2 linked regions of the Mus musculus genome follow. The protein of the gene in region 1 purifies or fractionates together with the protein of each later gene. This does not show direct contact. Links are inferred from orthologs where the notes say so. Each region holds a gene or a part of one and is shown in the gene's direction. Other genes may lie near its edges.

The links.
Region 2: the proteins of Prkag2 (region 1) and Prkaa2 purify together in Homo sapiens (affinity purification with mass spectrometry; 5 studies listed by BioGRID and IntAct, counting the BioPlex papers as one, with this or other methods). This does not show direct contact. The link is inferred for Mus musculus from reciprocal best matches to the Homo sapiens genes PRKAG2 and PRKAA2.

The regions. Positions count from the first base shown.
Region 1 is NC_000071.6:24,870,125-24,873,772, reverse strand, and holds part of Prkag2 (5'-AMP-activated protein kinase subunit gamma-2), read left to right. Parts: intron 1-1,359; exon of another isoform or gene 1,360-1,445; intron 1,446-2,113; coding exon 2,114-2,279; intron 2,280-2,680; coding exon 2,681-2,718; intron 2,719-3,648. UniProt on the Homo sapiens protein: AMP/ATP-binding subunit of AMP-activated protein kinase (AMPK), an energy sensor protein kinase that plays a key role in regulating cellular energy metabolism.
Region 2 is NC_000070.6:105,107,080-105,110,827, reverse strand, and holds the start of Prkaa2 (5'-AMP-activated protein kinase catalytic subunit alpha-2), read left to right. Parts: upstream 1-929; 5' UTR 930-1,029; coding exon 1,030-1,123; intron 1,124-3,748. UniProt on the Homo sapiens protein: Catalytic subunit of AMP-activated protein kinase (AMPK), an energy sensor protein kinase that plays a key role in regulating cellular energy metabolism.

The DNA.
Region 1 (3,648 bases):
CAGTTCAGCTTCTCAACTCACTACTGTGTGCACGGTGTGTTCTCCAAGCTGACACCAACTCAAATGCTTTCCGTCCTAAATCTTTTAGTCCTAGTATTAAAATAATAAAACCAGGGCATGCCCCCTGAGGACGGGCGATGTGTCAGGCTCGTGCAGGGGGTGGGGAGAGTAAGCAGTTTGTACCTCAGTCTCACTGAGGCCCATGGCATGCATGGAGGGAGCCAGGCTTTAGGGCAGAAGTCGCTTGTGGTGTGTTTATTGAGGTCATGGTTTTAGAAACATGAGCAGAAAAACACCATCCCTGGGGTTACCTCATTCTCAGCTGCAGCGGCCAGAGACTCCCAAGGCAGAACAGATGTGAGCAAGAGATACACCGTAGTGGACTTCTGTGGTTTGTGTTCCCGTGGCCTGTAGTATTAGAGGAGGCTCCAGGGGAGCGGGAATGTGGTCATTAGCCAGGAGGCACAGCAGAGGTGTTGATGGCTCAGAAAGGCCATTTGAAGTGATCTTTCTAAAGGGAACACTTGAAAGCGTCTTCCAAGGAGCTTTTCCAGGGTCCTGTCTGCAGTTCCCCATCAGGAACCAACTAAGCATACAAGTCTCCAGGAGGGCCCACGTTGATCTTCTGGAGGCAGCCTTGCAGAGCCAGGGGTTTACAGAGGTGTCAAGGGTTGAGTGATTGAGACGTGTGCGGGTGGTCCAGCTGATCGCATAGTTTAACTGAGCATCCAGAGACAAATCGCATTTCCTGATTAAATTGGGAGAAGAATAATTTGCTGAAATGCCCGTGGCATTTACTAGGCAACTAAAGAAGAGCGAGCAAGGAGTATTGTCCGTCAGTTGGTAATGGGGAGTGTAGAAGCGTTCTTTATTGAGACATCTCAGGAACCAAGGGTTTAGGCAGAGGGGCAGGTGCTCAAGGCCCACGGTTGCTAGGCTGGTGGCTCAGCCTCTGGAGCCCATGTGTGACAGCTGGCCACTGGCAGGCACTGTGCTGGGGGCTTTGCATGAGGTGTCCTTACGCAACGAAGTCCCCTGGTGCTGTTAGCACTTATTCATGGTGTCACTCATCTAATCTGAAGAGAAGGAAGTTGCCTTAATTTGGGCAAATATGGCAGGTAGAAACTTGCAGCCAGAATATTCAGCCAGGAGTTCTCAGATAGAAAAAAAAATACATATTTTTAAATAAACAAACACGATGGCCTGATTTTTACTGGACCAGGATCGTTCTGGGGAAGGGTAGTGATACCCTCCCCAGCATGCAAAAGGCAGGCAGTGAAGCGGGGATTTCTGTGGTGAGATGGATTAGGTGACCTAATAGGTCTCTCTCTCTCTCTTTTTTTTTCTCTAAATTTCTAGGAGTCTCATGATTTGAATATTGATGAACTCTTTGACTTGAACATTTTGTTTCTTCTAATTGTTCATCTTTTCCTGATAATTATAAGGTACACCAGGAAGATGGCATCAACTCTGCCCTTTATAAAAGGTGGATCTTTGAAACCATAGACATTTTTCTGTTGTAGTCCAGCCTGATCCTAGACTTTCTGCAGTTTACCCCTCCTCCTCTGAGGTAGTAAGAAAAGGGAAGTGCATTTTCAAAGGTCTGTCTGCTTTGTTCAGCCGGCCTGTTCTTTGTTAATAGTGAGAAATTGGGTCCATCCGGGAAGCGTGCGGTCATTGGAGGTGGGAACAAGGAGCAGCTTAGTCGTAGCCAGTCAGGCCTAGGATCTGCAAACACACAGGGCTTCCTGTCGCTTCAGATCCCAGGGCTGAATAGAAATCACCTAAGAATAAAGGGGTCACTCAGTGCTGGCTTTCAGGTCTTAGTTTCCCAGACAAACCTGTCGATCTCATCTTCCTACGGTTTTGGTTCAAAGAGAAGGGAAACTGAATATCTAGAATCGCTTCTTATACAAAGACAACGTGTGGTTAGCTGGTTTGAGAGAGACAGTTCTGATGGATAACACTTTCATGACAATGAGACACCAAGCTAACTGTTAGGAAAGACTTGCCTTTAATTTGTTGAACATAGTTCTTCATTCAGATCTGGATGTATGCACACTGAGAGGTCATGCTAGGGTTCTAGAACATTCTCACGTCTCTTCTTGCTCAGATGTCTGACATGCCAAAGCCTGCCTTCATGAAGCAGAACCTGGATGAGCTTGGAATCGGAACGTACCACAATATTGCCTTCATTCACCCAGACACTCCCATCATCAAAGCCTTGAACATCTTCGTGGAGAGACGGATATCCGCATTGCCTGTGGTGGATGAGTCAGGTCTGTGAGGCCACGCCTGCTCCTGGGCCTGGATGAGTGGGAAGTGAGCGAGCAGACAGCGGAGGAGGAGCGAGTGCTGGGCTGCGGCTCAGTAGTCATCAGTCAGGAAAATAACTTTAAGCAGGCTCCGTTTTCAGTTTACATCAAAATACCCTCTCCTGCTTACTTCTAAACAAGCCCGTTTGTTTTACTGAACACTGTTATCCACAGTAGTTACCTAGTTAAGACTGAGATAGATTAGATAGATAGATAGATAGATAGATAGATAGATAGATAGATAGATAGATAGGTAGCTAGGTAGATAGGTAGATAGGTAAGTAGATAGGTAGATAGGTAGATAGATAGATTTTTTTTCATTACTGTTCCTAAAATGTTTTTCTAACATATGTTTTCATTTTTAGGAAAAGTTGTAGATATTTATTCCAAGTTTGATGTAATTGTAAGTATTTTTTTCATGTTTTTAAGCCTGTCATTCAGAATGCATTTTAAAACAAATGAAAACTTAAAATACATTAAGTTGTTTATTCCATGATGTAATAATTCCTGACCTTTCCAGTGAAAGTCTTGGAGAATTTCAGTCTCCTCTCAGGGGAGCTATATCTGATAATATTGCTTTACCAGTGAGCCGTGTGTACATCTGTGATGGTCTTTACTCGGGCACTCTGATGGGAGCTCGTTGTCTCCGTCCCTACAGCCCGTGAGCCTTATTTGACCACATTTCTTTTGGGGTTGCTCTGCCGATGGGGGTGCTCAGTGAACACATGAGCTGGGCCCTCATCAGTGCAGATTCCTGCTCAGGTTGGGAGACACTGACCTAAGAAGACAGCCAGGAGACTAAGATCTAGGCCCTAGTCTCCCGCGGTTCTTAAAGCCAAGCACGTCGTGACTGCTGACCTGAGTCCCCTCACTGGTGCCTTTGCCTTTAACACTGGCTGCCCACTCATCTTTAAGATAGTTTTTGAGTTTCATACTGTGTCCAAGAAAGGGAAACTGGTTTGATAGCGGAAACGGACACACATTTTGCTACAGTTTTGACCCTGCCACTAATTATGGTTTTGCAGCTGTTTTTCGGTTCAACCAAAAATAATTTCATTAATCCAGAAATCTTTTCATTAGAACCTTGGATGAATGGACCCACTAAAATCGGTGGGGGTCATGGGAGACTCCGTGGATTTCTGGTCTTCTTGATGTTAACAAGTCCCATACTTCCCGAATAGCTCTGGGAACCCACTGGGAGACTCTGATGCAGGCGCCCTCCCTCTGAGGCATGTCAGCCTCGGCAGATGTCAGTCCATTTCTCAAGAGACACTGCTTATGTGGGGTGTAGAGCCTCCATGGACAAGAGTGGGAGGAGCCTGGCAGAAAATAC
Region 2 (3,748 bases), on another chromosome or scaffold:
AACCCCCCATGGCCTCCGCATCAGCTCTTGCCTCCAGGTTCCATGCATTGAGTTCCTGTCCTGACTTCCTTCAATGATGAACAGTGCGGTGGAGGTGTAAAAAATAAACCCTGCCCTCCCCAACTTGCTTTCTGGTTATGGTGTTTTATCGCAACAATAAAAGCTTTAACTAACACAATGAGGAAGGCCTGTTATAGATAAAATGAACATACAGGCAGAAGCAGAGGCAGAGACACATGGTCAGACTCAGCAGGGCCATGTGAGGAGAGAGAGGGAGGGAGAGCAAGAGAGGAGCCAAGCCTAAGAGGGGTGGGTGGCCTGGGCTAAGAAACTGGCACAGCCAAAATGGCTGAATTATCTAGGGATCAGAGGACCTGAGGGAAGGGGCAGCTCAGTCCCCGGGCTGGAGAGTTCAGGGTAGGGGTCAGGGTATGCCAGGCAGGAGGACCCTATACCAGGTGGGGACTAAGGGATGCTGAGAGAACCAGCGTCACGTCACCTTTGCTATGTTAATGCTAGGCGTCTCCGTTGGCAGTTTGTCTGGGGGTTGAGACCTAACAATAACACGACCAGGAACTACAAAACAATGGGACGCCATCTGAAGAGGGTACGGACTAGAACGTTCCCAGACAAACAAACCTTGGCTAGGGGGAGCGTGCCAGGGGCTAGGGGCGGGCCGCCCTCTCCAGCGCCTTGCCCTCTGGTCCCGAGGCATGGCTCACGGTCTACACCCCGTCACCCCCACTTCTCCTCAGATTCTCCTTCCATCTCGGTCGCGCTCAGATTCATCCCTTCCATCTTCACCGCCCTGGGCTTTTCTCGGGACGCCTCGGCTCTGCTCCCCCAGCCTGCGTCCACACGCGCCGGGCTGCGCTCTCCCCACCGCGCCCCGGGCGTCCCCGTCCCGCCCCCCGGGCCCGCTGCACTGTGGGTAGGCGGCGGCGGCGGCGGTGGCGGCGGTAGCGGCGGCGGCAGCGGTAGCGGCGGCGGCGCTCAGAGCCCGCGGCAGGGGGAGCCCGTGCGCCGAACATGGCTGAGAAGCAGAAGCACGACGGGCGGGTGAAGATCGGACACTACGTCCTGGGGGACACCCTGGGCGTCGGCACCTTCGGCAAAGTGAAGAGTGAGTGCAGCGGCGCGGGCGGGCGGGCAGGCGCGAGCGAGGCCGGGTGGCAGGTGGAGCGCTCGCGGGCGAGCCCGGGGCACAAGCACCTGGAGCCGCAGCCCGGGCGTGGGTCCGGGGGGACCAGCGGTTATGGGGTGTGCCTTGGCGGGGGGTGCCTCCGAGCGCCCTGTCTTTTCTCTATGCCTCAGCTCGCTTGTCTGCAGAATTGGGCGATTGGCCCAGTCCGAAGGGCCCCGAAGCGTGGGGAGGATGGGGGAGTCACGGCGCCCGCCGCGAATTGGGAGGGGGTCTCCCACTGGTGCCAAGTGCTCTGCGTGGAGCCTCATCTGTGGTCACACTTAATCCTTAACGTGGCACCGGCCGGGTGCGGTCCTCACCTTAAAGGTGAGAGAACTCGAGCTCCAAGGCTTCAGAGACACGCCCAAGGTCACAGAGAATTGGCAGATTCAGGGTGAGGTCTAAGATGTCCTCCAATTTTGGCCTTGCTGATGAGGTCCCTGCCTTTCCCAGATTCTTCCCTGTCCCAGTCCTTTGATGGTGGAGTTGACCAGGGGCATGCCCATAGCAGAGAGGTGCCAAGTCCCTCTGCTGGGTGTGTGAAAACGCTGGAATGCAGCGGGTTGGACAGAGAATTTAGGAGAACCCCTAGCTCTGTAGGTTGATTGGTTCAAGGAAGGATTCTGTGGTCAGGGTCTGGGAGAAAATGTTGCTTGGTGATCGACTTTGGGTCCCCAAGAGGTCAGACTTGCTTAGGCAAGGGGTATGTTTGTTGGTGAAGGGACTGCTTTGGGGGTTTTGGAAAAAAACTGGTTGCTTTTGAAATGTCACACTGCACTAAACTAGTTAAGTATTAAACTTTGCTTTGCTTTCTTATTAGTTAATAAGAGTCACATGGGGTTTGATTACCCGTCCTTTTAACAGAACTACAGCTCTTGTTAAAAAAAATACTTGGTAGCAAGTTGGGAATTAAAAGTGAAACATTAGCCTTTTGTTGTTGTTGAATAAATATCGGGTAAGCAGTCTGGGGATTTTATGCTGAGGCTTATTTTCTACATTTTAACCTCCAGTGAAGGTTTGAATAGAAGGGAGAGACTCCTCATTCCTGCGAGGATTAACTCCTCTTGGTGTATCTAATACCGGTTTGTACAACTAGAAAACACTGAATGCTCTCACCACATGCGGGGAACTGTTCTGGGCAACGGAGTTCTAGGAAAGAGCAAAACCTGAGCTCTCCTGGGACTTACTCGCTATGAGGGAAAGACAATCAGAATACATGTGAAAAGTATATGGCCCCCTCCTATTGAGAAAGGAGAACAGGGGAAGGAAGGATGGAGCCTTTTGTGAGGTTGGCAGATTATATTAAGGTGCCACGTGGCCTCACGGAGTGGGTATTTTTGTAAAGACCTAAAATGTTTGTAAAATTCTTTGAAGTCTTGTGAAGTTGGGATCTTGTAAGAGTTGTGGATAGTTGGGAGATGATAATGATAGAGATTAGATAATGATGTTGCCACCATCTTTGCAGAGAACTGCTTTGCTGTGGCATTGCAAAGTTATGCAAACGGCTGCTTTGCCATTTAGGGTAAGTTATATAACTTAGCCTATATGCTTTCATGTTCTGCTAAGTGCTTTTGTTTGCGCTTGCTTTTTTTTTTTTCCTCTTGATGTAGAGTGGAATACCCGATCTGATTTCTCAGGCCATTGTCAAGGGATAGTTCGAAAATATTTGGTTATAGTCTCTGTCTGCTTCTAAGCGCCAGCTTCCTAAAATATAAATGGAGCAGAAGGGACCTTTGGCTTATGAGAAAAATCTTTTTCCTGGAGAACCCTGCTGGAACGAGCTGTTTGGATTTCTCCTGACCATTTTATCTTCCCTAAAGAGATATTCCCTATGTGGTGTGATAGTTACTATTAATTGTCAAATGCACACAAGGAAGAAACACCTAGGAAGGGAAGCTTAATGAAGAATTATTTAGATCCAGTTAGCTTCTGCGCATGCTCAAGTGGGAAGCCCTCCCCCATTCTGGGCAGTACTGTTCCCTGAGTTTGGGTCCTGCGCTCTGTTAAGTATAGAGGGATGGGCGAGCATGATGAGCAGGCCTGCCTGCATGTGTTCTCTCTCTCTGCTGGTGACCGAGGATGTGCTTCACGTTCCTGCCTTGACTTCCCTCAAACGGACTGTAGCCTGGAAACTGAATTAAAATAAACCCTTTCTTCCCTAAGTCACTTTTAGTTGGGGTGTTTTATGACAGAAATTAAGCTAGGTCAAGTGGGTTTGTAATCAATACAGCTGTAGTTGTTAAGTCAAGGGGCTGGTGAAACAAAGTATATGCGTATTAAGAATACATTTTAGGGCTGGAGAGATGGCCCAGTGGTTAAGAGCACAAACTGCTCTTCCAGAGGTCCTGAGTTCAATTCCCAGCAACCACATGGTGGCTCACAACCATGTAATGGGATCTGTTGCCCTCTTTTGGTGTGTCTGAAGACAGCTACAGCTCATATACATAAAACAAGTAAATCCTAAAACTTAAAAAAAAGAGTACATTTTAATTTATTATTTGACATTTCATACAATGTGCTTTAATCAGAGTCCCTGCCCTTTCTCTTTCCAACTCCTTTAATGCC